Arabidopsis thaliana: one gene and its partners. The protein of the gene in region 4 interacts with the protein of the main gene of each other region in a pairwise test. Each region holds a gene or a part of one and is shown on either strand. Other genes may lie near its edges.

Evidence for each region.
Region 1: the proteins of LOG2 (region 4) and GDU7 interact in a two-hybrid assay, tested with the Arabidopsis thaliana proteins (2 studies listed by BioGRID).
Region 2: the proteins of LOG2 (region 4) and GDU2 interact in a two-hybrid assay, tested with the Arabidopsis thaliana proteins (2 studies listed by BioGRID).
Region 3: the proteins of LOG2 (region 4) and GDU6 interact in a two-hybrid assay, tested with the Arabidopsis thaliana proteins (2 studies listed by BioGRID).

What each region holds. Positions count from the first base shown.
Region 1 is NC_003076.8:15,521,650-15,529,043, reverse strand, and holds GDU7 (glutamine dumper 7), read right to left. Parts: upstream 2,980-7,394; 5' UTR 2,931-2,979; coding exon 2,637-2,930; 3' UTR 2,469-2,636; downstream 1-2,468. Other genes in the region: AT5G38760 (Late embryogenesis abundant protein (LEA) family protein), read right to left, coding at 4,301-4,375, 4,473-4,541, 4,736-4,795; AT5G38750 (asparaginyl-tRNA synthetase family), read right to left, coding at 5,864-6,103, 6,186-6,255, 6,297-6,394. UniProt on the Arabidopsis thaliana protein: Probable subunit of an amino acid transporter involved in the regulation of the amino acid metabolism. Stimulates amino acid export by activating nonselective amino acid facilitators.
Region 2 is NC_003075.7:13,112,738-13,120,365, reverse strand, and holds GDU2 (glutamine dumper 2), read right to left. Parts: upstream 4,339-7,628; 5' UTR 4,218-4,338; coding exon 3,828-4,217; 3' UTR 3,411-3,827; downstream 1-3,410. Other genes in the region: AT4G25770 (alpha/beta-Hydrolases superfamily protein), read left to right, coding at 384-694, 786-853, 946-1,016, 1,095-1,334, 1,458-1,621, 1,703-1,758, 1,856-1,908, 1,995-2,118 and 1 more. UniProt on the Arabidopsis thaliana protein: Probable subunit of an amino acid transporter involved in the regulation of the amino acid metabolism. Stimulates amino acid export by activating nonselective amino acid facilitators.
Region 3 is NC_003074.8:12,348,655-12,356,000, reverse strand, and holds GDU6 (glutamine dumper 6), read right to left. Parts: upstream 3,530-7,346; 5' UTR 3,493-3,529; coding exon 3,157-3,492; 3' UTR 2,968-3,156; downstream 1-2,967. Other genes in the region: QQS (qua-quine starch), read right to left, coding at 6,275-6,436, 6,523-6,540. UniProt on the Arabidopsis thaliana protein: Probable subunit of an amino acid transporter involved in the regulation of the amino acid metabolism. Stimulates amino acid export by activating nonselective amino acid facilitators.
Region 4 is NC_003074.8:2,994,048-3,002,907, reverse strand, and holds LOG2 (RING/U-box superfamily protein), read left to right. Parts: upstream 1-4,652; 5' UTR 4,653-5,072; coding exon 5,073-5,575; intron 5,576-5,756; coding exon 5,757-6,264; coding exon of another isoform or gene 6,265-6,279; exon of another isoform or gene 6,280-6,350; coding exon 6,351-6,506; 3' UTR 6,507-6,729; downstream 6,730-8,860. Other genes in the region: CCR1 (CRINKLY4 related 1), read left to right, coding at 1-2,070; AT3G09760 (RING/U-box superfamily protein), read left to right, coding at 7,457-7,531, 7,823-8,353, 8,589-8,730, 8,848-8,860. UniProt on the Arabidopsis thaliana protein: Acts as an E3 ubiquitin-protein ligase, or as part of E3 complex, which accepts ubiquitin from specific E2 ubiquitin-conjugating enzymes and then transfers it to substrates (in vitro).

The DNA of each region.
Region 1 (7,394 bases), on a different chromosome or scaffold from region 4:
CCAACAAACACTACTACATTTATCTCTTCTAAATTAGAAGAGATCTAATAACTATAAAAAGGGAGAAAACAAAAACAACAAACAATAATATAGCCAAAGCGGCTAAGAGAGAACTCGAACTTAGCCGAGAATATATAGAAAAAATGTATTTAGCCGGAAAGAACCAATTTTAATCGAAGACAAAAAAAAATCAAGCTTCCTCTCTTTAAAAGATAGGAGGGAGATAAAAGATAAGAAGTTACGTCCATGGACCTAGGCTATATTGCAATAGTTTTAATTTTAAAACAGCGCTTAGTAAAGTTATCTCGACATACCATATTGTTGGTATAAAAAGGAAAAATAGGTTAAGAACCCCTTATTTTTCAGAAAAATATGTAGAAATTTTGTGCATGATTGGTTGGGTTTTAAGTCTGACTTATAACCTTAACTTTTTTTAAAGCCTTGATTACTAATCAATCGTGTTGTAGCTTTATTTTTAAATTTATAGCTCATTTTTTTTTTTTTTTTAAGGATGTAATAGAGTAAATTCTCAAAGCCCTATTTTCTTTGCTGTAGAAATTTTAATTCATTAGATAAATACAAAAAATTAAATTATAAATATATAACAAAAAAAAAGATAAGTTCTAAAAAAAACTGATAATTACTAAACCTAAATGAAAAAATTGAGATTGCAATGAATTTATGTATTAATTTTAGGTAAAATTTAGATTTATTTTATTAAGAATTCATAGGCCTTTTTTTATATATCATCATAATATATATATTTAAATTAGTAATACAAGGTATTTTATTTATTATAAAATTTTTTTTATTACAACTATTATATTTAGTAATCCATTTTTTATAAATATTTAAAGTTAAAAATTTATAGCAAAAATTCTACAGCAATAAAAGTTACAGTTACATCCAACACAGCTACAGTAAAATCTGTACAGCAAAAATTCTAAATTTTAAACCAATCACCCACTTTCTCAACTTTTTTTGTGATTTTTTAAACTCTAAATTTTTTAAAAATAATAAAATAACCTTTAATATTAGACTTATTAATAAACTAAATAAATACCAAATAAATTATTATATTTTTAAAAACAACTTAGTTTGTTATTTATTTTTTTAAATTCTAGTTTACGAATTATTTTTCCAAAATAACTCCTTTTTGTTATTTTCAAGTTTTTAAAAAGTTGATAAGTAATATATCAAAATCAAAGCATTCAAGACAAAGATTTCAACTATACTTTTTTATTTTTGAAAATCAAATATATGTGATCGTATATATATTTACAATATATGTATAAATGTTATATTATATATTATTTTTGATTTTGTAATATTATTATACATTTTTTGGAGGTGCATGATAAATTTATAGAAATGGACGACTTTTAGGTCTTTTTTACACAAAATCTTTTAGTAAAAAGCGAGGGTTTAAAATCATTTAAAAACCATAAGGTACGTAGGTTTTTTCATGTGAGATTTTTTTTAATCCATTTTCCCGTATAAGATGGACCTTGTTGTTGGCATATACGATGGTTTGCTGAAAAAAAAACATTAAAGTAGTTGCAAAACCAATAAAACTGATGTGATTTAATCGGTGAAAGAGGATCTATGATCAACATGTGTATAACTAATTAAAGACACTTAACCAAATTGACTCAAAAAGTGTATAGTTCAATATATTCGATAGTAATATTAACACACACATATGCGAACAACACAGTATATTCGAGGATCTAGCACTTTAAATAAAGCTACCATAAAATGGAATATTTGTTATTTTTCCTAGTTAATGCTCCTTAACGACTAAATGTAAAATTTCCAAATTTATTGATAGCATAATGTAAAACTTACCAATTTCACCGTTTTTTTACAAAATCTAAACTTTTGTTTCAATACATACATACAGGCCCGGCTTAGAGGGTGTGCCCTTGGTGCTAATGCACAGGGTCCTTTATTTTTTCAATCATTTTCTTTAAGCAATCAAGGTCCATTTTACAAACAGTAGTGTATAATCAAACTAAATTCTAAACATATAGAACATATATTAGAAAAAAAATTAACGAGCACAGGGTCCCACGTTTTGTTGAGCCGGCCCTGCATACATATATAAGTATCTTTTGCAACCGAGAAAGTGAAGAAGACACGGAAGAAAAAAAGGTGAGAAAGAACAAATTTGAAGTGCGTAAGAAACAATATGGAGCCTGGTTTCTTCCAAGTTAGCGTAGCCGTGGGGTCTGTCTTGGCCATCTTCATGTCAGCAGCTCTATATGTTATGTTTTACTTAAACCGAACACAAACACATATTGTATCCACTTCTAATATTTAACTATCTTCTTTATTTTTTTCTTGATAGTATTCTTTATTTTTTTGCTTTCTATGAATTATTTATTGAAGAATTTTTAGACTAGACATATATATCTTTGCCATAATTTATTTTTTGCTGTTGATAGAAAATTTTATAAACAATTGTTCTTATTGAAAAGTTAACAAAGAAAAATAAAAAAATTATTATAGAAAACTTAATCAAGTATATATAAATATATCAGTAGAATATTAATGGTCTCGTCCAGCGAATGAATGGAAAAATATAACACTAATCTTGTGATTTTTGACATCATGATCATTTAAGACAATACTGGTCATGCATTGATCTGGGTTGGCTTAGCAAAGAAGGTAGGGTTTTCATTACCAGCCATTATTACAACAATCTTTGGTTCCATATCTAGTGGCTTCAACACTTGCTTCTTTCCTTGTTTCTCTTCGATGCATGAATTCGAAGTTTGCTTATGATAGCAAGCATAGGCCATAGCGAATAATGAAAGCGCAAAGAGCCCCAGCATTACGCCCCACGCACAAATCTTAGAGAGAATCGGAGAGTCCATGTTCTCTAACCTGGAGTTAACCGGGACCATTGAATCCCTATGCAGACTCATTGCCTCGTTGATCTTGAAATCTGATCTTTCCTCTTCCACCAGCTTTTCTCTTCTCAAGTTTGTGGGGGTTATTTATTTATATCGTATTACCTAAAAGTGAGAGTTTTGCACAGTCTTTAGATGCCAAGTTGCCTTCTGAGTTTTTGTCCTAAAAGTAATTATTCTTTCTTGAACACTTAAGAGATTCTTTGATCTCTTTTCTTACCAAGCTTAGATCCTGTGTTTATGAGGATGAAATTTTCTTGAATAATTGATTTTTTGGTTTATGTTAATTCTATCGAGTCCGTATACAAGATACATATAAATTACTGTGTAACCCAGTTTCATATGTTTACATTTTTCTAAACAAAACAATATTGTTTATTTTTTTCGCCAACCACATCCATTAAAAACAAAAATATTATGTACAAGAATATGCAAGAATGAGGTAAATCAAGAGAGAGAAAAAACATTGAGTGAATTGTTTAAATATTTGTGTAGTTTTTTTTTTGTGTGAAAATATTTGTGTAGTTGAAGCTAAACTTGTTGTATCAAGATATATCTTTTCTTTAGTTTATAATAACTTATATAATCAATTGTTAGTATCATTTTTTCACATATAAGATTGTATATTTAGTTTCTTAATTTTTAATTTTATATTCTTGTATCTTTTGTCATCTGAAAATTTTTGTATTTGTTTTTTACCTAATAAATTATAAAAGTAAGTAATAATGATTTATAGTCTCTTTTTTTTGTCAACAACTTTGTCTTAATTAAGAGGCTTTGAGAGCCATGCGAAGGGAACATTATTTAAATACATGATATAATACAAATATCCATTATATATTTCCTCCTAATAAATCTCAAATGGTGGCCATACTAAGTATAATTTATATAAGATGTAAAATCATGAGAACTTTTTATTTATTTGATGCGGTTTGGTTTGAATTTTTTTTTTGGGTTATTGCCTTTCTCATTAATAAAACGAATTAGTTAATAAAAACAATTTTTGTTTTTTTGTTTACTTTGAAGGGTTTTTCAGTTATACGTTTTCTTTTTCCACCCTAACAAAAAGACATATGCCATACCGGTATAATGCCAATTCAGCCACATTTTCGTATAATTTGAATGAAAGCAGAAAAGAAAAATACGATCATAAGACAATGCTATTTTATTAGAGATCTCTATAATGAAAAAGGATCTCAAAGATTACATGATCATGAGATAATAAACAGAAACAAAAATCCAAGAGAAGAAGTAATAATATTAAGAAAGAAAGAAACAACAGTCTGAATAATCAAACCGTTGAACCTAATCTTTAGGTTTCAAAAAATGAATTATTGTTTTTATTCGTAAAAAAAATAACATAATGAATCATATGATTATTGTATTCATTTGTTCATGCCGGTGGCGTTCTTCACTGATTCGGTAGCTCCTTGTGCCTTCTCCTTAATCTGCTGGCCGGTCTATACAAATGTTTATAAATGAAACAATTTAATTAGTTCCATACTATTACAAGAATTCGATTTAATTAATCATGAAAATTATCTAGATTATACGAACCTCTTTGAGAGACTCCTTGGCAGATTGGGCAGCATTGCTAGCCTTGTCCATCATGGTGCTAGCCTTCTCCTGAACACCATCAACCAATTAATTACTACAAGAAAAAATCTCAGACAAAATTGCTATTGAAATACTTAATTTAAAAACTTTTCCCCTGCTTTAAAAATTATAAGTGTTTTAAGAATAAACGTTTGTTACTTTAAGTTTTAGAGCCCTAATCATTTTTTATTGGCCCTAGTAATAATATTATAGTTTAGGATTACCTGAGTTTGGCCCTTGGCCTGGCCAGCTTGGAAGCTAATGTTCTGGGAGTTGCTTGACATTTTCGAATAGCTTTAGTGAAAAGAAAGTTAAGTATTTTCTTTGAATAAAAGTGTGATTATGAGATTGAATTGAGTTAAGTTCCTCCAAAGGTTCCATAATTTATATAGCTCTCATGGAGCTTTCATCTTCTGACACATGTCAGTAAAGTGTTGGAATATGGGGTGTTCCGGATTAAGTGGAGATTAGGATGATTAATCCATATTTAGTTCATGAGATCAGAGTTATATGGAAGTTTGACACATTTGTTGGATATTTTTAGCTCGATTGACTTGTTCTAATGATTGTGATCTCAACTTTTGATTTAGTAATGTTTTGATTTGATTAATCTATATTAGTTTTAGAAGTGTTGCATCTTTTTAGGATCTTGATGTTTGAATCCAGTTAAAATAATGAATCTGGTTAAAATTAAAACAAATGGTTAAGATTAAAAATTATGATTTACCTATCAACTTTGTTTGGTATTTTTTTAACTCTTCCAAAATATCATATAATATAATTATAACAATTGCAAACTATATATTAAAATATTTATATAAAAAAATATTTTATAACATGATGTCATTTGCAATATAATGCATAATCATTTAATTTAAAAATCACTAGTTTTAGAAAATAAATCGTCTCAGGGTGTATCGCGGTTAAAATCTAATTTATCATTATTATTACAAGTGTTGCATCTTTTTGGGATCTTGATGTTTGAATCCAGTTAAAATTAATGGAGCTCTTGGCACTTTCTAGTTAATTCAGGAGATTATTCACAATAGTCCTTTTCCATAGTTGATCGGATTCTAGTCAAAAAAGTTTCTTTTTTTGGGTTCAAAAGGAAAAAGTTATAAGAAATGAGTTTATTAATTGTTTAGAATGAGTGGAAAAAAAAAAGTTTAGAATTAGAAGAAAAGAGAATGAATTACATATCAAGAAGAAGAAAAAAGGAGAGTGGAATTACATTTACATGACATGTTGTCATATTGATCACTGTAATATATCGAACCTTAGGGTTCTAATGCTAACACGTTAAAATAAACAAGACAATAGAGTTAGGCAGTGAATAACTTGAAATAATAGTATTATGCAGTCCGGCCCCTATTCTTCGCCGCAAGACACATCTTATGTCGGATTCTTGTAACTGCTGCAATCATGGAGGTTCTTGCACGAAAATAAGTATGGTCTCTCAAATACTCTAGAGTCAGCTTCGATTTAGGAATTGAGTACGGAGTTTCACTGCGGTGATCCACTGTTCCCACATCAATGAACTTCTCAACGTTAAGCTCGATCATCTCCTTCGTAGCTTTACCTTGCAGAGGAATCTTCAAACAACCATCTATGGACTATGGTAAGACTAGTTCTTGTAGTAACCAACTTGCAGCGATATGACACAGAAGCATCCACCTTGACCTGAAGATTCGCTGCGCAGGATCCATAGTTCACTTCAAGAAAAGTGAAACTTTTTCCTAGCTCCCTTCCCTTTTTTAACCCACCCGCTGGTTTGGAATTTCTCACCGGCTAATCCTGCTGCCGTCCGGTCGACACAAAATCGATCGAATACGGGTCCGACTCAGAGAACAGAGATTCTGCACCGTTGATGACGAGGCACCCATATCTCTCATCAATATTAATATTATTATTTTTTATGTCGATTGTTTTAGTTAATATAAACAATTAAAACAAAAATTTATTTTCATTTCAGAAACTATTGAATATTTTCTATTTTTTACTATCTTTTATTAATACTTTTTAAACATATCAAATTATTTTTTTTTTGTTCAATTGTATTAACTATTGACTAATTAGAGTTATTTTGTAGAAACAAAAATAATTTAATATTTGGTAAGAGTTTTTAAAATTTTCTTTTATTGTATCAACTAAAACAATAATAATTTATTACTTTCAATTCAAATTAATATTAATATATATAATTTAACATGTATAATGTGTCGACTAATATATCTTAAGAGAATGAAGCCACAAAGGTCCACTTATAGATAGATACGATCTTATTCTACCATCCCGAGTGACCTTTTTTGAAATATCTCTAGCTAAAGTGTTATATTCATCTATAATAAATTATTATACAGTTAATGAAAATTTGGAAATGTTATAAAGTTTTATAAGTGGCATATACGTTATTAGGCCTAGGCGTTTGGGTACTAGTTCAGGTTAGATTATGGTTTTAGAGTTTAGGTTTGGAGGCTCCATACATGTATTTTATATATGAGGAATTGGTTAGATTTGAAAAAAAACTTTGTTAATTTTTGGATTTTTCGGTTATTTTAGGTATTTTAGTATTTTTGATTTATTTATTTTGATATTTTTAGATTTATAATAATAACTTTTGAAATAATATTTATATTTCAGTTTCGGTTTGATTATTCGGATATTTATTAGTGTTTCGATTTTTCATATTGTTGTCAAAATTATATGAGTACATTTGTATAAATTCAAAAAATTTATACACAATGAAAGAAGTATATAACTAAATAGAAGCAAATAAATAAATAAACAATGATGTGAGTAAACAAAAAAATGAAAGAAACAATAAAACAAGTAAAGTAAGCATGTAAGAAAACAACTACAGAAGTAAAGATACAAAGAATCAAA
Region 2 (7,628 bases), on a different chromosome or scaffold from region 4:
TCTTTACATTTTATATTGAGATTAGATGTACTTGCAATGAAATAATTTTTATTTACTATTTATCCTATACTAATAGTAGTTGATAAATCTCTACATTTTAGTGTAGATTTTTGCAAGTCTTCCAAAATTAAAGTTTTTTTGTTTGTTAATAACAACACCATTAACCTCTTATAGTTTTTAATTTATTATCAATCCACTATTAATATTTTTTTTAAAAACTTATTTTGACCAAGTGTTTCTATGTTACCGCTACTGTTGCTTAGCGCCTCCGCAAAACCCGCAAATTGTAACACTTCTTCGCCGGAAAAGTTAAGCGACTTGTCATCATCAGTTTGCTAGTCAGGAAGATAACTTCCTTCTTATTGTGTTCCTTTTACTTCCACATGATCGCGTCCTTCTCCAGATTCCAAATCTCAATCCCCGATTTGATTCCGTCTTCACCGCGATTTCTTCCGCCTAGTCAAAACCAGTTCCGTTTCAGATTATACCTTCAATTTCCAGCTCAACCTAAGAATCTCTGTCAAATGGAGTGGATGAATCGTCTTGGAATCGGTTGCTTTGCGGCGAATCGAAGCAAAAGAGAGCTGACGACGGAGATCGACAACGGCGGAGAAGACTTTTTCGATGCGGATGTTATGGAGTCTGCGGAGAAGCCTGATCATTTGGTGGTCATGGTTAACGGAATCGTTGGCAGGTAGACTAAATCAAAGAGCTTCAATTAGAATTACAGATTACTATAGTTTGGGTTAAAGACTGTGCTAATTCTGTGTTGGATGATGATTTAGTGCGGCGGATTGGAAATATGCGGCGGAGCAGTTCGTGAAGAAGTTCCCGGATAAAGTACTAGTGCACCGTGCGTGTTTCTTGACCTATAGATATTGTGGTTTTGATTACTCTGTAATTTTATGATTTGTTTGATTTTGATGATGAAATTGGATGAAGCAGGTAGCGAGAGTAATAGTGCAACGTTGACATTTGATGGTGTTGATAAAATGGGTGAAAGGCTAGCTAATGAGGTAGTATTTGGATGCATTGTTGTTTCCTCTGTAACTTGCAACTTAAAATTTGATTTCTATGTTTGAAAATTTGTGAAGGTTTTGGGTGTTGTTAAGCATAGAAGTGGGCTGAAGAAGATATCTTTTGTGGCTCATTCATTAGGAGGTCTTGTTGCAAGATATGCCATAGGGAAGCTCTATGAACAGCCAGGGGAAGTCGACTCTCTGGACTCTCCTTCGAAGGAGAAGAGCGCAAGAGGAGGCGAAATTGCTGGGTTAGAACCTATGAACTTTATAACTTTCGCAACGCCTCATCTTGGTTCAAGAGGACATAGACAGGTGAATTGATGTTTTAGACTGCATGCCTAGGTCAAATGTTTATGTAAGGTTTGCATATATATATATAGATAATCTCTTTCTGTAATCTGTATGACATGCTTACTCTTGTCTTCATTCCCTCAGTTCCCGATTCTTTGTGGCCTTCCGTTTCTTGAAAGAACAGCATCCCAAACTGCACATTTGGCTGCTGGGAGGACCGGAAAGCATTTGTTTCTGGTGGACAACGATGATGGAAATGCTCCACTTCTTATCCGGATGGCTACAGATTCTGATGACTTGAAATTCATGTAAATGCTCTAGCTTCTGGGTGTTTTCATTGGTGACTTGCAGATTGATATGCTCATCATCTCTTCTTATGACCTCAACAGATCAGCTTTAAATGCTTTCAAGCGTCGTGTGGCATATGCAAACGTGAATTTTGATTGTATCCTTCCCTGAAAAAAACATGTTTTTAAAGAGACTGTCAATGGTTTTTGATTATTTCTATCATTTACAAGAGTTTGCCTTAACTAATGAGAAAGCTATGGTTGGATGGAGGACATCTTCAATTCGCCGTCCAAATGAACTCCCAAAGGTATGTCTTTACTTATTATATTTTGTGCACATCTTTAATGACGTTGTGGGATTTATCAATAACTATTATCCCTGCTCATCTTCCAGCCAAATCTTCTAGCAACGGATCCAAACTATCCACACATTGTATACGTAGAACGTGGAAATGTGGACAATGGTAGTTGCCAGTCAACTTCTACAGTAGTAACAGAGCAAGATACTGATCTTGAAGGTTTTGCTTTATTTCTCACTTGACTATTTGTTTTTCAAAATTTGCTAGAAAAAATGATATCTCTATCAGATTTATGGAATGTGGTAGATCCTTGCCTCGCTATCTATTACCCATTGGTCTTCTTTATAACAAGTAGAATCACTAACTTCGTCCTGTTATGGTTTTTGTGAAATGTAGAGGAAATGATACATGGACTCAGTCAACTATCTTGGGAAAGAGTAGATGTCAGCTTTCACAATAGCAAGCAACGATACGTCGCGCATAGTACCATCCAGGCAAGTTTAATGATAAGAACTCAAAACTCAAAAGCGATTTTGTTAAGAGCATTTGACATAATTTTCCCTGTAATGTGTAGGTGAAAACATATTGGTTACATTCTGATGGCAAAGATGTTGTCTTCCACATGATGGATCATTTCGGTCTCTAGCCCTAAACATTTTCAACCGCTGCAATTAGTCAGCACTGTAAGAAGGCGATAAGCATCACAAACTTCTTCTCTTTTTTGTTGGTTATTTATATCGTATTTAGTATGATGCTTGATGCGATACAAATCGTGGTAAAGTTCTTGGCACTTTTTCCTTGATGGTTATTTAAAATGTTTTATAGTTCTGTCGAACAATGAATCTGTACAGATCTACCCGTTCTTTGTAAAAAAAAAAGGTTCATACTTCTCTTGTCACTATCGATTCTATAAGTTTTTGTTTTGATCATAAGACTTGGCGCCAGTTGAATGTCGATTTTTCCACAATTATTGTTGGTTTTCCAGTTTTATTGGCATCATTTGCGAGCTCGTTTGTTTTGACACGTTCACATAATAAACATAGTAGGAATTGGACAAGAAAACGAAAGGACGTAAACACATGACACAACCAGTGACCAATTGCCCATACTAGAAAAACAATTATTCAGTTAGTTGCAGTAGTCTCCATCCATTATATGTGTCACTGTTCACATTGTACTGATCATCCAAAAGACGACAATTTATTGTCCAACGATAAACGATAATGCTTTCAATTTCAGTGAATGGTAAACAATGATAAATGGATATGCCTGGAAAAGAAAAAAAGAGAGAAATGTATAGTTGAGAGGCTATTTGTTCTTTGATAAAACTTGATGATATTTAGTAATATATCTAGAAATTTAGGAATAAAGGTACAAAGAGAATAATTCTCAACTTCGGTTCGCCACAACGAATTAGCTTAATATTCGGCATGCGTCATTGTTGGCACATCACTAGAAGTTTTCACAACACATCTCTTTCCCTCTTTCGTAAGCATCATGTCTGTACATCTCTCACTGGGAAAACATTTTTGTCTCTCTATACACGAAAACTGAATTAAGGACGCACGATTTTAGTTGTATCTTTTATTTATTTTGTCTGTCAAGCTTCAGTTCTATCTTTAATCGCTAGTCCAAAACAATCATCTATTCAAACTCTTAAAATTTACATGTACCGGATATTCCTTCATGAACCATAAACGGGAAAAATTTGAAGAAAACTGAGACAACCAAAAAAAAACTAAAACCATACGAAATAAATAAAACTCTAATTTATATCCCATCAGCTCACGTAAGGTTGGCGTAATTATGAACCGACACAAAAAGACCGGACGGATCGATTCCGGAGTACTCCGTAACGAATGCTCTGTTTTCAAAATATGAGGGAGGGCTCACCGTAACCTCCGGTGCTCTGCTATACCACCTGATCACTACCCTCTTCTTCCTTCTTCTTCGTTATGATCGCCGCAAGTACAGCTTTGCTCAGACCGAGTCGCTGGCGTAGCCAAGTAAGTAGGTCTGACATCACCGGCCATTATGACGAGAAACTTCTCCGGCATTTCTGTGTGCTTAGTTTTGTTGGTGTCATTGTCGGGTTTGGCATCATCTCCGGCCTCAAGATCTCTCTCAGCGGAGCCGGAGAGTCTCCAGTAGGAACATGCGAGGATGAGAAGAGCGACGCAGATGAGAGCCAACATGGCGGCCAAACCACCGAAGAGATAAGGAACCGGAGAGTGCCAAGGCGAGTGAGGCACCACCATGGAGGAGCTCGCGTTTATGCTGTCTTGGTAATTATATTGTCGTCCTTCCATTGTCTGCATGTGTGTTTTACTGTTTGGGAAGAGTGAATGAAATGAAAGTTTTCTTTGTTAAAAAAGTAATTAATTTATTGGTGGGAGATGAGATTGTGTTGTGAGAGGCGTTTTATAGAGGAACGTATGGGATGGATTGTTTCTTAATGCAATGGATTTGTGTATGGTTCAGTTTTCAGTATTTTTTTGGAATGTATGAAAAAAGTCAGTATTCATTATTTGTACTTTGTAGAGTGAGTATTAACGAAATTATTTTTTAGGGAATCATCTTCCATAATGGAGTAAACAATTGATTGGTTTTTGATATAGAGATGTAGTTTTTTTTTGCATTTATACTTACATGAATAATTTTTTAATCAACCTCAAAAATGATATTAGTTTAACGTGGTGGCTCAATGAAGACATTTGTAAAATCATGTATATTTCCTTCTTTTGGATGTTAATTTGAACTTGTATTAAGTTGGTTTTCTTATTTTTTTCATAATTGTTTTGTTTAATATATCCGTCTTTAGTACTTTAATAAAGTTTAAATTTTTATTGGTGGCTTTTAATTAATAGTATCTTTTAAATGCAATAATGGATAGAGGTTAATTAAAGTTAAGAATTATTTAATAATCTTGTTACGGCAATTTGCACATTAACCTAACTGTTGAACTAACTAACCTCTTTGTTTTGGCTAATCAGTTTTTATTACTTTGCTTAATTAGGTTAAACTCAAGATTTAATATCATTTAGGAGTTTCAACTCAAAACTATTTTCAATGCCATTTATACACTATATATGGAGTTCTTAACAATATGTATAAAACTGTAAGAACTATATACAGTAAAGGGTATTTAAAAAACTTCTGGTTAGATAAAGTAATAGAGCGAGTAGTGCAATTGGAGGGGTAGGTTCTCAGCGTCAGCTTCCACCATGACTAAAGGAAAAACGGATATTCCATTAGTTTCCAATCACTTTCACTTACGTTCTCCATTTCCACATTCTTCCTCTTCCATTTTCTTTAATTTCTTCATTCGTACTTTAAGATCATTGTTTAATGTGTCCACTAGTATTACAGTAAGCAATAATATATCATTACGTCAACTAAAAGGAATTTCTAAGGCAGAACCTTTTTTAAAGCATCCAAACCCCCAAACAATGTTATGTGCGGTTAATATGCCAACACAATCACTAGTCGCTTACATTAATCTTTGGAGATAAGTTTTACTTTTAAATCCCCTCACTGTGTATATATTAGTTTTAAATTATTATGTGTGTGGGCTGTATAATTTATTCCCTGATCCGACTTAAATTCCGGATTTGATTTGTGTTTGTGCATGAATCATAGGGAATCATATTCTCGTTAAATAGGCACGTTACATGTGAAGATAATGTATAAAATAAATACATATACCTAGGAACCCATTATTTAGTTTCTCGAACAAACAGATTAAGTACGATAATTAAATATTGGAGTTCTATTCTTCTTCCTTTCCGGTAATTATTCTGCCAGACCAATTAGAATCGGTATGTTGATTGTTGAAAAGATTGATTGATGGGTGCTTCATTTTGTGCTTGGTTAACAATCAGAATACTTGCCCTCTTTACTTTTATTTCTTTTGAAATTTCCTAAGAAATCGTTTTCGGTGTTGAAAGAATTAACAAAGGTTCCAAATATCTCAACTTCTCAAGTCAGAGATTAGCTTTCATGTAGTTTTTCAAATTGTGTTTATTTCTTCATCTAATTACTTTTAAAGGTGGCTCGTTCAGTTTTTTTCAGAACTTATCTCCGTACATTCTAAAACTCATTTTTAGTTATCAAGATATTTTTCTTTCTCTTTAGATACGGATTAGTGAACTTGAGATAGGTATATCTAATTTAAATAGACAGCTTTATAGAGCTATGATGACACTTTTAAAAACTGATAGATATGCAACAAATATCATTATTGCATGCCTCACAGTTCACACATGTTATTTGAAGTTTGAACATTAAGTCATAAACAACAGTTTAATTACAATAAAATAATCAACATTTGCTAGCAAGAAAAAGAGAAGATATGGTAATAAAAATAAGGTTTATTGAAAGAAAAGATGAGAAAAGGAGATGAAAGTACAATAATTGTATATATCGTCAACCATGGCGACATGATCATATACATACATGTTTAAAATAATTTTGGAAAGTGTAAAAGCAAGTGTCTAAGGAAGTGTTATGCACTAATAGAAGTATAGGACGGTATCTAGTGAGAAGAAACAAAGAGTAAAGATACAAAAAAAACAGAGTGATTAACATTTCCTACATATATTCTATAGTTTTTTTTTTGGAATATGTTGTAACAGTTATGACATGATTCATGTGGAAGCTGCTACAAAAAAGTGGAGGAACGAGAGGGAATAGTAATAAAGCAGAAAGGGGTGTTTCTTTGAGAGAGTACATTTGTGAACGAGGACCAGCCTTTGTGGGACCTAAGAGTGGAGGGTGGTTCAGCTTTTAGCCGAGACGTCCTCATCGCCCAGCACCCTGGTCTGGTCCATCCTCCTCCACTGTCGCCTGTCGGCCTTCATTACTCTTTAACTTACCCACACACATTCTTTTCACTTTTCAGTTTTGGGTCTGTTCTTGCAGTTATGATATATACGGCATGGTATATTTATCTTGTGACATTGCAAGTTGCTTTTCACACATTTTTTTCAATATTGATCCACATTCAAATGGGCTTATTTCTGATTTCCTAATGTCAATTTTCTTCTGTTTAGCCCTGCACTCTGTTCTTGTTTTTGTACCCGTTAAGGGGCTTTGAAACAACATGCTACTTTTTATTATGTGTAGAAATTTAGGAAAAACACAACATGAGATACGGATATATTGATGGCCAAAGAAAGTGAAGAGAATGCTTTATTAGTATAACAAACTATATAAACATATCACATATGTGATATGTATAACAAGTTACTATAATATGATTCAAATTCTGTTTAGAATATTTTCTTTCATAGATAAAGAAATTGTACCATTTACAATTATTTCACCTATTAACTCCTAAAGTTTATTCATTTGCATGTACGGTGATATACCTAAAGTAAAAGCAACCACAAGTAACTATAACTAACTAACGTTTAAGCCAGATTGTTTTTATAGAAACTCCTTCAAATCCAGGACTGGTCACGTCATTAATATGTAATTGTAAAAATGGTTTGGCAAATTGTGTGCCAAACAAACAAAGGAAGATGCAGAGATTGGGAAATAGACTTGTACGTGATTTGCAATTTTCTGTGTAATAATTGTCAGCAGGCCCGTGACCTTTATCTGCATTCCCCTTTGGCTTTCTTCTTCTCAGTTTCTCAACAATATATATTCACTATGACACACATGCATATTCATTTGATCCATCTTTACATGTTTTCAATAAATGTGTGTATACGTAACTGTTAGCA
Region 3 (7,346 bases), 9.4 Mb from region 4:
TAAAAGCGTAGAATGGTGGACAAGCATCATATGGTTGGAAGTCAATACAAGAAGGCAAACTTTTACTACAACAAGGCTTACGGGTCCGATTAGGTAATGGGCAAAATACCAAAATTTGGGAAGATCATTGGCTTCCTACATTACCTCTAAGGCCTGCCAGTGGACCAGTTTTGGATAATAATATGAAAGTCGCAGATCTTTGGAAAGATGGTAAGTGAAAACGAGATCTTATTGTTTTCGAAGGCGTGCTTAATCTGGAGGATCAACCATTGGCTAAGGAGTTGTAGCTCTCCAAAAGGAAAGGGACTCTTATGAGTGGGCCTATACTTGCAAAATTCAACACACAGTAAGATTGGGATATTGGGTCGCCACTAATGTAGACCTTCTAGAGGACGAAGTTATTCAACCACCTGCGGGAGACCTAGAACTTAAAAAAGATATATGGTGACTTAAAATATCTCCAAAGATCCAACATTTCTTATGGCGATGTTTATTAGGGGGCTTTATCCACAACAACTTAGCTAAGAACAAGAAATATTATGGCGGATCCGATCAGTCTAAGATGCTGTTATGAGGAAGAGACGATTAATCATTTACTTTCCACTTGTCATTTGTAGGTTGTGTGGAGAAGTGCAAATATACTTGGAAGCAGCCAAGCAACTTTCTCTGACAACCGTGAGGATAATATTCAGTTTCTCTGCAGCTCCAAAAACAACAATATCTTCCCCTTTCTAATGGTCTTCTGCGTTTTTGGATAATGTGGCGTATATGAAAGTCGAGTTTCTCTTTCAAAAGATAATTTGTTTTCCATGGAAGGTGGCTCAGAAAGGTGTACAAGAAGCTTCTGAGTGGATTGAATCTACACAAGATACTACAGAGTTCATACAGAGTATTAGTCAGTCACAAGCTAGACCGATGCGATATATAGAGTAATAAAAAATGGAGTCCACCCCAGAGGGATATTTTAAATGTAATTTTGACAATAGCTTTGTCCAAAGTAGAACCTATGAGATTTCTACATGTGTAATTACAAGTAGAACACAACTATAGACAAACTTTCATGATTTGAAGCTTCAATATCTAATTTTTATCAAACTTTTACTGTACCACCGGAATTGCTTTTAAACTATTTGTATTATCCGTTTACAATATAAGAAAGTCGGAAGTTAAAAAAATAAATTTGTATTTATTATCTTTTCAAAATAACAAAACATTTTTTATGTTTTTATAACATCAAACCCAAAGTGAAACATAAAATACAAATATCTTTGAATCATAATAATAGTAAATAAATAAATATATTTAATGTTTCAAAACAAAAAACCTATATATATCTACATATACATTTTTGCAGCCATTTAGTAAAATAAATCCTGAAGTAGAGACTTATTTACAAGACAATGTCATTGACATTAAATTTCAAATGTTGATAATTATATACAAGATATTACGTTCAACAATAGTTGCCAAAAATCTCTCAATATATCAGTTGGTATTAATTATTCATATTTGAAAATTTAAATATTTTATATTGCGCTCAACAAACGTTTCTAAAAATCTCTTCAAAAATTTGCACGGTTTCATTCACATGTCTATAATATGAGAATTTTGAATTATATATTTTTAGATTGATTTGAATTATATATCTTTTAAATTAAAATATTATTAAAAGAAAAATAACAAAATAATGTTTAATTTCATTGAACGGGGGTTAAATGGTATGACAGGTTTGGGTCGATAGTAATACGAGAGAATATACTACAGGTGAAATTAATTAGATTGTTTAATTTCACTGAACGAGATTAGATGGTAGGACGGGTTTGAGTGAATAGTAATACGAGACGGTATATCACAGGTAAAATTTTAGATATAACAATCAAAATAAAATTATATTATCTTAAACCCTAAACAAAATAAAGAATATCAAAAAATAAAATAATTTAAATTTAAATTATTTTTATAATTTAGATTTTAACTTAATAAACAGTATGTTATTATTCTAATATTTTTAAACAGTAAAAATCAAACATAGCAATTTTATAGTAAAAATATATATAAATATAAAAATTGTATATTTAGATAATATAAAACATAAATTATATTTATTTTTAATTTATTAAACAAATTAAATATTTTATTTTAAAATCTAGTATATATGCATAAGCGCACAAATAAAGTGATCACACGAGAAAAGATGGCGACCACTTGAGAGCCACATAGTCCAAAAGTAAAAGATCACACTTTGGACCGTCCAATTCTTTGCGTTTTCAAGCCGCGGCGTCCACCAATAGCTGCCAATCAATGTGAAAGTTATCATTATGTGAATGAAATTAGAAAAGCCCACATTAAAATTTTACATACTTTTATCATTATTAATGCACATTACTTCTACTATTAATTAGAGTATACTAGTATTGTTGTTGTGAATTATTTATCATGTTCAAACCCTAAATATTGTTAATAATAATTTTTTCAATCGGTACATTAATTCCATAGTGATATTGATGACGTTTCAATATAATCATTCTACGATGAGTTAAAAATTTTTATCAAAGATTTGCAATTTCCGAACCCAAAGTATGCTCATCTACTTAGCTTTCTTTACAAACTGTTCAGACTTGGTGAAGATGGTGTCTTCTCCAACCGAATGGCCGGCGTTTTCAGTGTATTTGGAGGAGTTGCAAAGTGATAGGGAAGAATTCACAAATTTCTCTTTATCTTTAATTTCTCGTAGTGCAAATGTAAAAGCGGATAAGTTGGCACGAAAGATTCGTACCGTACCGCATCATGTCACGTATGTAAACAATATCCCTCGAGATTGACTCTTTTGAGTTCTAATTTATATCGGTTGACAAAAAAAAAAAAAAGTATGCTCATCTACTTTGTAAGTAAAGATCTAAAAATGATGTTTGAAAAATAAAATTCGTATGACAAATTAATATATCTTTAAATTTAAACATTGTACTAAAAAAAGAGAACAATAATTCATAAGCTGTTCCAAAAACAAACTCAACAAACAAAAGCAATAACACAAAACTTAATCTATACTAACATTGCCACAAAAATTATCGACTGTTACAAAATTGCCGCTGATTATTACAAAAGTCGAAATCTCTTAATCTTTCTGTCGGCAAAAGAAGAAAAAGATGTTAATGGTTAGGTTGAGATGACAGTAACATTGTCACAGTTACAACGAAAAATGGAAGTGGGTGGAGGAACCACGACCGGAACAGCCAAGCAAGTAGGTTTATTGTCTCCGGCCAAAATCACCACGATCTTAGGTAAGTACTCTCTTGTAATAGGCTTAGCGTCCTTGTCACCGACATCGTCTTCTTCATCCATATGATTGTTATTGCTAGAGGAAGAAGGTTTTTGGTGTGTGCAGACCAATGAGAGTAATGCCAAAGCTATAAGCAAAACAAGCAAAAAGAGACCACCAAAGAGATATGGTACTGGTGACTTCCAGATTTCTACTTTTGGTGTCGGCCTCATTATGATTTTTAGTAGTCTCTTTTTTCTTGTGTTGTAAGTGCAGCTATGGAATTTTAGTTATGGGCATTAAGGAATTTATAGTAGAAGGTTTGTACAAAATTGATATATAATTTTTAAATTAATTGATCACTAAGAAGTGTAGGCGTATTTTAGTTTAAAGTGAAGTAGGAAGATTCCTTGTGCGTTCAGATATTCTTTTCTTTTATTAACTATATCTGTTGTTGTTTATTGTTCATGTGTCATGTCATGACGACATTACATTAGTTCTTCTTACTTATTTTTTCCGACACTTGGAAATGGAAACAATGGTGTGCATGAACCAAGATATAAAAACGGTATACATGCATGCAAATGTTATTTTTTCGTTATTATAAATTAACATAAATATGTGAAAGTTCATTTAGGTATATATGAATGTTTTGAGTTTAAAACATTATGAAAAATAATTATTTCCAATATCTTAAAGTAAAGCTTAGCATTAGTTCTAAATATATAAAAAAAACTTGTAAATGTTAAAGGTATTTAGCGAAAAAAACATTATTACTTCTACACTATTTAGTTGTAGTGCCAAAAAATAAAATTAGATAATAAAGTATCTTTATCAAAAAAGAATTTCCAAAAAAACTTTCCCGCCAAAATGTTTTCGGGGAAATTTTTTTTGTCAAACTTTTTCCACCAAAAAAAAAAAATTCATGATTTACAAAATTAGGAAAGATTCTAAGCAATTAAGGAAGGTTTTCACAATATTCATAATTTTTATTTTTGTGTAGCCTTTTCTGAATTTTCTAAAATCTTTCCTGAATTTTGTAGAATCTTTCCTAAATTTTGTGAAATCCTTCCCGAATTTCGTAGTTACCTTCCTAAATTTTTTGGTGAGAAAATTTGACAATTTTTTTTTTGCGGGGGAAATATTTTCTTTTATTTATTTATTTTAATTAAATTAGTTATTTTATATTTAATATTTAATTAAAGTTAATAGTGCTCTTTGTGGAAGTTTTCAAAAGATATTCTATTTCTGAAAGAAAAACTTGTTCATTGCTATTTTTGTCAATTCCCCTAAAATATTTGATGTCTTTTTTATCTTAACGACTAATTTTAAAAAATAGATTTCTTAACTTTTTAAATTATGTGTAAAAATAAGTTTATATAACAGATGTTAGTCAACCGTTAATTCATATGATTCAACGGAACCAAACGACATTATGTTTGGTAGTTTGAGTAAAAACAGAAAACATGCAATGTCGTCTTTATAACTTTTGGGATTTAGGGACTTTGATTTCATTTAGTTATGTTCATTTTTTAAGCGGGACATAGAAGCATCGAGTAAATTTCATATTTGCTTTTGTCCACAAAAGGGAAGTCGTGAATGGGACTGTCATTTAATTTTTATTAAAAGTAGGGAAATGAACCAACCAAAAAATATATGTTCAATCGTTTTGTTAACCTTTGTCTCAAACCAAACGGTTTGGTTTGGTTTTGTTTGTTATACTATTACTTGTCACCCGAAAGTCTGAACCCAAATATGATATTGTTAACTCGATTAGTAAGACTGAAAAGCTTTGTAGACGTGGAAAGATGAACAAAGCTTAACTCGATTAGGGTTTTTGTAGTTTCAGCATGTATGCTGCAGCTGTCGGCTTCTCCAGAGCAGCTGGAGGAAGCTCCGGCGACAGAGGTTAAAGGCATACAAACTACATGGATTCAGGTAAGTCAGAAGGAGGATCTCAAAGAACATGGCCATCGATCTCAATGATCAAACTTCACAATGGAGGCATGCATCTAGCCAACGAGAATCTCCGTAGACTCAAAGGGTGGTGGGTCCAACAGTCAAAAAGTCATACGTTCAAGCAGCTCAAAAACATGTTTTTACTAAACAAAAGTTTGTGGTTGATGAAGTAGATGGTCAAGGGAGAGTTGTTGTCCCAAAAGAGGTTTTTGTAGGAGCTAAACCGTTATGGAAAGATTTTGTGATTGGCAAATTTCTCAATACAAAGGCTCCACATGTGGGTAACATTCACATGATTGTGAATAAAATATGGAGATTGGGAGACAAAACAAGTCTGATCGATGTTTTTGCAGTCAATGAAACGACAGTCAAGTTCTAGATTCGGAATGAGACTATGCGACAAAGAATTCACTACAGGAATTGTGAGTATCAATAGCACAGGAAAAACAATATTATAAGATATTATAGCGTTGTAGTAAACACTATGTATGCGCTTGTTATAGTAGGTCGAACACTTTATATAGCGGTTTGGGTTCTGCTATAAAAATTTCAACTAATATAGCGTTTTGTTGTGTGTTATTGTTAATTTTACAATAGCAATTACTATTTGCTATTAAATTGCGTAACTATAGCAGTACTTTAAATTTATAATAGCATTTAAATTATGTAATAATTGATAGTTTAAGGGTTGCTGAACAATAGCTTTCTTAGAGTATCCGTATAATTACTGTATTTAAGCGCTGGATATTGTATTTTAATACTGTAATTTATACTGTTTTTTATACCATATTTTATATTGTAATTTATACCGTATAATTACTGTATTTAGTCGTTGGATACTGTATTTAGAGTATCCATATAATTACTGTATTTTATGCCTTATTTTATACTATTTGGTGACTCTTTAACAAAAAAAAAGTATTTTACAAAGTATTTATATTGATATTAAGTCTAGTTGTAATGGGCATTAGAACAAAATAACCATTAAACAAGTTTACAGAGATATTAAATATTGGATACAATGGCCCTATAACTAATTTGTGATAAGGCCCAATATCAGTAGTTGTAGAACTGAAGCCCGACCCATGATATGACCCTCATTTTGAGCCTTGCGACACCTGATGTAGAAGTGTGAGGCAAAATGAACCTTTCAATGTCCATCAAATTCTGAATTGTTGAATTGTTTGGTTTGAAGCTTCTTTCAACGTAAATTTCCTGCTACAAAACGAAAGATTTAATCTCAGTAAACTAAAGAAAGTTAGTCGTTTGAATTACAAATAAGTTACTAATGGCTAATCGTTTACCTCTCTATTGGTCTTCATGAATCTAAGAACCAAACACCAACTGGTCGCTGAAATATAAGAATCATTCAATATACACAAAAGAAAATCAATGGTACTCGCATCTTATCAATATCACTCTGACGAATCGGAAATTATTTTTGAAAGGATGAAAAGAATATTACCTGTGGAGAAAATGAAGCATATAACACAACCCAGATCTTCTATAACCTGGAACAACAACAAGTATTAATCAGATTAAGAATAGACAAAGCGAGAAATAAGGAAAAAGGGATAAGGTTTGGGTACAGATCTAGATGTTTGATGAGAGGTAATGAGAGGAGGCTTCTTCAATGGCTGACCGTGTGAGTCTTGTTTCTTCTGATCTTCAATGGCTGACAGATCGAAAGGAGGTTTCTTCAATGGCTGACAGATCGAAAGGAGGCTTCTTCTGAGATGTTCTAATTTTTTGGATCGAAAGAAGTGAATAAATTATCGAAAAGGAGACGAAACAGACAAATCAAAGGCCAATATCTCGCCACGTCATGTATCCGAGTGATATATGGTGATTGGATCGTTTTGGCAAGCTTGGACATTTATTTAAGATGGCATGAGGAAAGGCTGAGATTTCGCCACGACATCAATCCGAGTGAAACATTCTAATTGGCTATTTCATGAAGGCATAAGAATGTTTTTTACATGCCATTTTCAAATTTTTTATGAAAAAAAAAATATATATTGACAAATTTATTATGTTTACATAATTGCAGATTTTTAGAAATTATTTAAAAATATTTTGAAACGTTTTTATTCTTGAAATGAATATCATTGTATCTCATATTGTCACC
Region 4 (8,860 bases):
GCGGTTCTTTCAGGCGGAGACGGGTTTCTCTGCGGCATTTTGTCGAACACTTCTCAAGCATTCTGTTTTAGTTCACTTGGGTCTTCTTCAGGTATGGATCTTGTCCCTCTAGCTTACAGGACTACTGCTTACTCTCAGATAGCTGCTGGAAACAGCCATGTCTGTGCTGTTAGAGGAGCTTACTATTCCGATCACGATTCTGGGACTATCGATTGTTGGGAGATAACTAGAGCTACGAACAACAACAGCTTAATCGCCAAGGAGAATCCTAACTTCTATGATCAGATTGTTAGTAATCTCGTCTTCAACAATATTGTTTCTGGTGATGGGTTTAGCTGTGGTGGAATCAGAGATGGTGGGATGCTCTGTTTTGGTCCCAATTCTTCTAATTTAGGGTTTAACACAACTTCTGATAACTTCCAAGTCTTAGCCGCCGGTAAAAACTCCGTTTGTGCTATTCTTAATTTATCTCGAGAGGTTAAATGTTGGGGAGAAGATGAATCTTTTGTCAATTCTCCGATGAATGATTCTCGATTCGTCTCGCTAACCGCGGGTCCTCGCCATTTCTGCGGAATCCGTGAGGATAATCATGAGGTTGAGTGTTGGGGAAACTCTAATTTCTCTTTGATTCCAAAAGGTTCTGGATTTAAAGCAATAGCTTCGTCTGATTTCATTGTTTGTGGTATTAGAGAAGAGGATCTTGTTCTTGATTGTTGGATGGTTAATGGTTCGTCCACATTAGCTTACGATCCTCCGTTAGAGCTCTGCAGTCCAGGGATGTGTAGAGCTGGTCCTTGTAATGAAAAAGAGTTTGCTTTCAACGCAAGTATACTCAATGAACCTGACCTAACGAGTTTGTGTGTAAGGAAAGAGTTAATGGTCTGTTCACCTTGCGGCTCGGATTGCTCTCACGGATTCTTCTTGTCAAGTTCGTGCACCGCGAACTCTGATCGGATATGTACGCCTTGCTCGCTCTGTCAAAACAGTTCTTGTTCGGATATATGTAAGCTTCATAACAGCAATTTTCCAGATAAGCATTGGCATCAACTACAGAGACTTGTTCTTATCATCGGGTCTTGCGCATCCGCTCTATTGATCATTATAATTGGTTGCTGTGTTGTGCCACGGATTGTCACTAGTCCTAATAAAGAAGACGGAGCAGCGAATCAATTCAAATCTTGCATAGGAAAGCCCGATTTAGACACTGATCAGCCACTTGAAAATGTATCCCCTGCTCCATCGGTAACGCCTTTTGCTCAAGTGTTTAGACTCTCTGAGCTTAAAGACGCGACCAACGGGTTTAAAGAGTTCAATGAGTTAGGCAGAGGAAGCTATGGGTTTGTCTACAAAGCCGTGTTGGCGGACGGGAGGCAAGTAGCGGTTAAGAGAGCAAACGCAGCAACCATAATCCACACAAACACTAGAGAATTCGAGACAGAATTGGAGATTCTCTGCAACATTAGGCATTGCAACATTGTGAATCTCCTTGGTTACTCTACCGAAATGGGAGAGAGGCTTCTTGTTTACGAGTACATGCCTCACGGTACGCTTCACGATCATCTGCACAGTGGGTTTTCGCCATTGAGTTGGAGCTTAAGGATCAAAATCGCTATGCAAACCGCAAAGGGTCTTGAGTATCTTCACAATGAAGCTGAGCCGAGAATCATTCATGGCGATGTGAAGTCTTCGAATGTACTATTGGACTCGGAATGGGTGGCGAGAGTTGCGGATTTCGGGCTCGTGACATCGTCGAACGAGAAGAATTTGGACATCAAAAGAGATGTTTATGACTTTGGAGTTGTGCTGTTAGAGATTTTAACCGGTAGGAAACGTTATGATAGGGACTGTGATCCGCCGGAGATTGTTGAATGGACGGTTCCGGTGATCAGAGAAGGCAAAGCGGCGGCGATTGTGGATACGTATATTGCGTTGCCGAGAAACGTGGAGCCGTTGTTGAAACTTGCTGACGTGGCAGAGTTGTGTGTACGGGAGGATCCGAATCAACAACCAACTATGTCGGAACTTGCGAATTGGTTGGAACATGTCGCAAGAGATGCATTGATCTTCTAGCTTCTTTTTTTTAATGAGTGTTATTATTCTTTTATTTATGAATTCTGGTGAAATTGTATAATCAAAAATATACATTCAAGATTTGAGAAAATAATTTTCAATGAGAGGAAACATTATCCAAAAACATTAATTGTGATTAATTACACTTTGCTCAGCTAAAATTTTCAAAGTTGGTTTATGAATCTTTGAAACTAAAGAGGTGCTACTTCAATTGTTCTGTTAGCTGTTTATATGAATTAAAGGAGAAAATTAATATATGAACAGATTATTTTTATTTAGTGTTTTTATATATAACCATTTTTAACAAAATATTTAGCTAATTAGTTCATGCACACATTTTGTCTACTATATATGCAGTGTTAGATGAACAAATTCGTTTTATGTAGTGATTGTGTTTAACCATTTTCAACTAACATTTAGCTACTTAATTCATCCACACAATTTGTCAGACTACATAATTCACATGACATTTACTGCTCTGTAATAGTATTAAAGGAAACAAATATGAAAATAACCTACTAGTAATTCTTTTGACAATATAGAGCTTTTCTTAGTCATAAAACAGCTTTTGTTTCAAAATTGGAAACGATCTCTCTTTTTGGGATCTTACACAAAGTACACATGTACGAAATTCCTCATTGATACATCATTCCTCATTACGAACCACACAATTAGATCTAACATATATATATTTGTTCCACTCAAATACAAATCTTGTTAGGGTAACATCACCTCTGAGGAAACGACAAAATGAAGTTAATGAAAGTATTTGGCTTTAGATGGATTCGTAGATAGTACGTGACACGTTGCTGATATGCGGACTTCAGATAAATTATCGGCTAGTATCATAAAGATAATGTAAGGGTCTAAGCATACTCACTAATTAACGAAATATCTTCTTAGAAACACCTGAGCTCGATCTATTTCAATCATAGTGACTCAAACCTAAGAAAATCTTTGACATATGTATATTACATTAGTGTTCCAAGAAGATGCTACGTTCGACGTCATATTTGTTATCCTGTAAATTATAACAAAGATGCATCAACATTCAACAGAGAACAAAGTTTAGTTTTTATATATATATATATGTCACGATCATAGGTCTACATAACTATAAATTGATACAATTGATTTTACAGATTTTACACAACATATGTATCCAACTTGATGATATATCCGGTCTGCCGTTTCCCACTATATATAGAGTATTTTATAATTGATTCCCATTTATTTTTCTTAGTTTATATATGTTCGTCTTTTGGAATTGCTTAATGAAAGTGTGTGCGAGTGGTTAGGTATGCGATTCTATTATGTCTCTTTATTTATTTTTGATTTCGAATCGCACCACTACCTTCGTATGGGAATGTTTCAATATGATATCTATCTGTATATGATCACGAATATAATTTGATTTTGATCAAAATCAACATGTAATATAATTTCACGTAATATCAAACATCCAATAGTTACAGTTTAATCTGGCTACTGAATATATATATATATATATATATATATCTTCCTTTGAAAGAATGTTTATATATTTTTATTCTTTGTGACGTTTTTTTTAGCTAATGGTGATCTCTTGACTCTAAATTCATACAAATTTTTTAAAAAATTAGCTTAGGGTTTTGAAAATATAAAAACTCTTTTAGGGCTTATGTTTTCTTTTTGGTCAACGGAGCTTATGCTTTTGTAGAAACACTAATTTTTAAGACATTAAAGTATACATCAGTTTTGTTTTGTGTTTTGGGTTAAACTTATACACAATTATTCAAAGACGACAAAACAAGTTTAAATATGAATTCCAAAATACCAGTTCATCTTTTCGGACTACTGTATATAAGAATATTATGTTGGCAAAAAGTAGGTTTATTATAGGTTAAAAATAAAAATAAAGTATAGCCTACTTTGTTAGGAATACATATTAAACTTCACACTAATTACTAGTAGATATTTAGGCAATATAAGTCTAGAAGCGGAAAGTAGACAATGCCTATTGCCTAGTATACATTTCGGACAGCACAAGTGACTTTTAACTCTTTAATCACACAGAAGACAGAACTATGCAATGATCGACAACTTCTTCACTCTGTAAAATATTTGGATTTCTCAATTAATGGTTTCTGAAAATAACATCATCTTTTTAAAGCATGAACAAATTAATCCTAATGTAGACCTAAATAAAAATCTTAAGACCATCTTTATCAGTAAAAACAAGGAAAGATTCTAAAAAAAAATAAAAATAATATTTTAATTAAAACAGATACATTAATTATTATTTAATAATTGAATTAATAGTATGATGACACTTGTCCAAATTGGATGAGAATAGTTTCTCAAAGTTTCTCGGAAGAGAAATTCAACTCTCCTTCTCTTCTACTTTTTTTTCCTTCTATCATACTTTTTCTTCTTTAATTATTTTTTTTTTTTATTGGGTATCTTATTGAGATACTTCAAATGGAGATGCTCTAATAATTAATGGGAATGTGTTTCTAATTAAAAAGATAACATCTTTCTTTCTATATTTTTGTCGTCATATAACACACCTCAACTCTTTTAAGTACTCGTGTTGAATTTTGTTTTTTGAAAAGACAAAACTCCTTATAATCAACGTAATTATTAATAACAAGGAGAAAAAAAGTCCAAAGAAAAAAAAAAGAAAGCTTTTTGGGAACATAAACACCATCGAAGGAGGGTGGGAGGTGTTTTATGTTCATGGGTGGAGCTTCTTGGCCAACCTGACCCCATTCATCATATCATTACCCACTTTCTTCTCCTAAATTATTCTCTCTTATCTCTCTCTCTCTCTTTTTATTTTCTTTCTTTCTTAATTCATCTAAACTCTCTCTGCTTTTGCTTTTCGTAATTCCTTACATTTCACTCAATATTAATCCCCAGAATCTCCGATCCACCCACAAATTTAGCAATTTTCTGAGATTTGATCATTTGGGTCACCAAAAAATCTTGTCTTTTTGATCTGGGTTTAACGCCAATAACATATGGGAAACATTAGCAGCAGCGGTGGTGAAGGTAGACGCCGTCGACGGCGAAACCATACGGCGGCTCCACCACCACCTCCTCCTCCTCCTTCTTCTTCTCTTCCTCCACCACCTCTACCTACAGAAATCCAAGCTAATCCCATCGTTTTCGCTGCCGTTACTCCCTATCCTAATCCTAATCCTAATCCGGTTTACCAGTACCCTGCTTCTTACTACCACCATCCTCCCCCGGGAGCCATGCCTCTTCCGCCGTACGACCACCACCTCCAACATCATCCACCGCATCCTTACCACAACCACTCTTGGGCTCCCGTGGCGATGGCCAGATACCCTTATGCTGGTCACATGATGGCTCAACCGACTCCTTACGTTGAACACCAGAAAGCCGTCACGATTCGTAACGACGTTAATCTCAAGAAGGAGTCTCTTAGGCTTGAACCCGACCCGGATAATCCGGGTCGCTTTCTCGTCTCCTTTACGTTTGATGCAACCGTCTCCGGAAGGTAGATTTCACTTTCTCCCTTTCGTTGATTTCGTGATCCATTTGAGCAGATAACACGTGAATTTTGTTGTGTTCTTCCTCGTGACTATGTAATTTGGATCTTCTTATTGCAATTTGATCAAATCTTCTTCATGTGTAATTGAATTAAGCTTATGTTATTATGTTGGACTTGTGAAAAATAGGATTAGTGTCATTTTCTTTGCTAAAGAATCCGAAGATTGCAAACTCACAGCGACAAAGGAAGATATACTGCCACCTATCACTCTAGATTTCGAGAAAGGACTTGGTCAGAAGTTTAAACAATCATCTGGTTCTGGTATAGACTTTTCGGTCTTTGAGGACGTTGAGCTGTTCAAAGCGGCCGCAGACACAGAGATCTATCCATTAGCGGTTAAGGCAGAAGCAGCTCCCTCAGGTGGTGAGAATGAAGAAGAAGAAAGGTCGGGGTCGAAGAATGCGCAGATTACTCAAGCGGTTTATGAGAAGGATAAAGGAGAGATTAAGATTAGAGTGGTGAAGCAGATACTATGGGTTAATGGAACGAGATATGAGTTGCAGGAGATTTATGGGATTGGGAATACAGTTGAGGGGGATGATGATTCAGCTGATGATGCTAATGATCCTGGTAAAGAATGTGTTATATGTTTGTCTGAACCACGAGACACCACTGTTCTTCCATGTCGACATATGGTAAGTGAAAGCTGATGATTTACTACTATTATGTGATGATGGACATATATATAGATGTTAAAAATTGTTTGGGTTTGGTGGTGCAGTGTATGTGTAGCGGATGTGCTAAGGTATTGAGGTTTCAGACAAATCGATGCCCCATTTGCAGGCAACCTGTTGAAAGGCTTTTGGAGATAAAAGTTCACGGTAACAACGGAAGCGGGAATAACACCGGACAGGGAGAAACAGTTGAACAAGAGTAGCTAAACACGGCCGAGTATGGATTGAAATGCCATCGAAATATTAGTAGTATATGCATGTTTGATCCTTGTATGTTAACAACAAAATGTGTGATTGTCAATTCATAATATAGAGATTACGAAATCATTTGGAGTCATAATGACACAATACTTGAAACATTCTTCATTAGATACAACAACAAAGTAGGCAGTTTCTTACTTAGCTAGTTGCTCAACCGGAAGTTGCAGTGGCAGGTGAAGCCATTTTAGTTGCAATAAGACAGAAACTTAAACATGGAAAACACGAGATATAGTAGCGGCAACATGACATTCAATTATATAGCTGACCCCTTCGTTTCTTATTTAAAAGGGGCAATCTCCAACGTTTTGTGGTCAAATGGGCCTGCATTTCTTTTTATCCGCCTCTACTATTGGGCCCTAAGCCCGAGTTTTCCGGTTTCGTAAACAATAGGTTCATCATACTTGTGTAATTTCAATGTTTTGGAAAATTCGGTTCACAGCTTCGTTAAAACATCAATCATCTCATATCTGTGACTCGTAGTTTGGTTAAAAAATGATCCCAAAAAAGAGAGAGACAGATCCAAAAAATCATCTCATATCTGTGTCTCTCTCTTTGTTTAAATTTAAAATGCTTGCCGTAGACAAAACATACAAATACGAGGCTGTAATAAACAAGTATTTAATATAATAATAAGGACAAATAAACGGACCAAATTTAGGCCGAGAAAATGGGACATTGTGATATAATCTCAAAAAGAATTGAAATTTGTATGATCGATCAGATATCTCAATTTCAGGAACCCAGAAAGAGGGACTTGTCTTTTACCTCCAAAGGGTTCCTGCCGTTTCTTTTCTACAATTTTTCTCCTGCTAATTATCAAATTTTTCTTCTGATTTTCATTGTTTGTTAGAGATTCTTCTTCTCCTCTGCTTTTCTATTCTCTGGGAGCTCGATGATGGATGATAAAGCTCGCAAAGAAGAAGAACATCATGTGTCTCACCAACATAATCATTCTCCTCTGCAAAGGGTCTCTCGTTAATTCCATTCCAATCTTGTTTCAATCTATCTTCCATTGATATTGATATTGTTTATAAATTTCTTTCTTTTTTTATTTTGCTCATGGTTTTGATTTTGTTGGTTATCCTCAGAATTTCATCAATCTTCCATGATTTTAGGGTTTAGGGGTTTAGTAGATTGTTTAAGTCGAGTCTCTTGATAAAAGATTAGGCTTTTAAGTTATTTGTCAAAGATCATGCCTTTTGTTTTTTTGGAATCTGAGAAATTGGATTTGAAATTAATCTTTCTTTGGTGTTTGCAGGATGGAAATTCTGCTGAGATTGCACAAGGACAAGAGCTATCATCACCGGGCCGAGACCTATGGAGGCGAGGTCTTGTGTTAGATTTACCATCAACAACACCTGAAGATACTACAAGAGATGATCTTTTTAGACGAAATGCATCTTTAACTTCAAGTCCTGTTGCCAAAAGAGTCAACTTTTCTCCAATGTCCAGCCCTAGAGTCGGACAACGTGGTGCATCCTTGAGTCCTTCTTCTTCTACTTCTTCTTCTTCAAGAAACAAACCTAATAGCCTGAAGAATCTAATCCCCAAGTTAAGCTTTAAGAACCGGAACAGCAATAACGATAATGTGGATATCGAGAAAGCCGCGGATTTGGGCTTTGTGTCCTCCCCTTCTTCAGGAAATGGCAGGGACAGGTCTACATGGACTCTCACTAATATTTTAACTCCAAGATTGAAGAAAACTGAGTCTCTTCCTGTAACCCCTATAGCTCACTCAAATCCTGAGTCCACTCACGGGAGATTTGCCGTTGATCTAGTTACTTCCACGGTGAGTAACTTGACGGATCGTTTCATTTAGGTTCTCATGTGAATTCTATTGTGGTTTGTGCTGTTATCTCATTGGCAAGGGACATTTTATTGTCTCGTACTTCACCTTGGTCTCAGTAGAGTAATCTTAAGTGATGCATTGTGCTTGTAAAATAAGTTTAGCTAACTAGGTTATCTTCTGCTTCACTTCATTGTTGGTTTGACCAATTATTTTTATAAAAATGTTTTCCCAACAGAAAAAAGGGCCTCCACTGCCTATCCACCGTTCACGCTCTGTCCCAGCATTCAACAAAGATGGAAGTCAAAGGCAATTAGGTGTTTTCCGGGTGATTCCAACTCCAAACATGTCTCCAACCAGAAATACTATTAAACTTAACGGTTAGAAATTGTATTTTTTCATTTGATTTTTAAAGCCAAAAAGACATGAAAGTTTGATATTTTTGTGATTATATCCTTGTAACAAACCCTGTGCCTTATATTAGTGAAATGTTTCAGACGCGAATGTTGA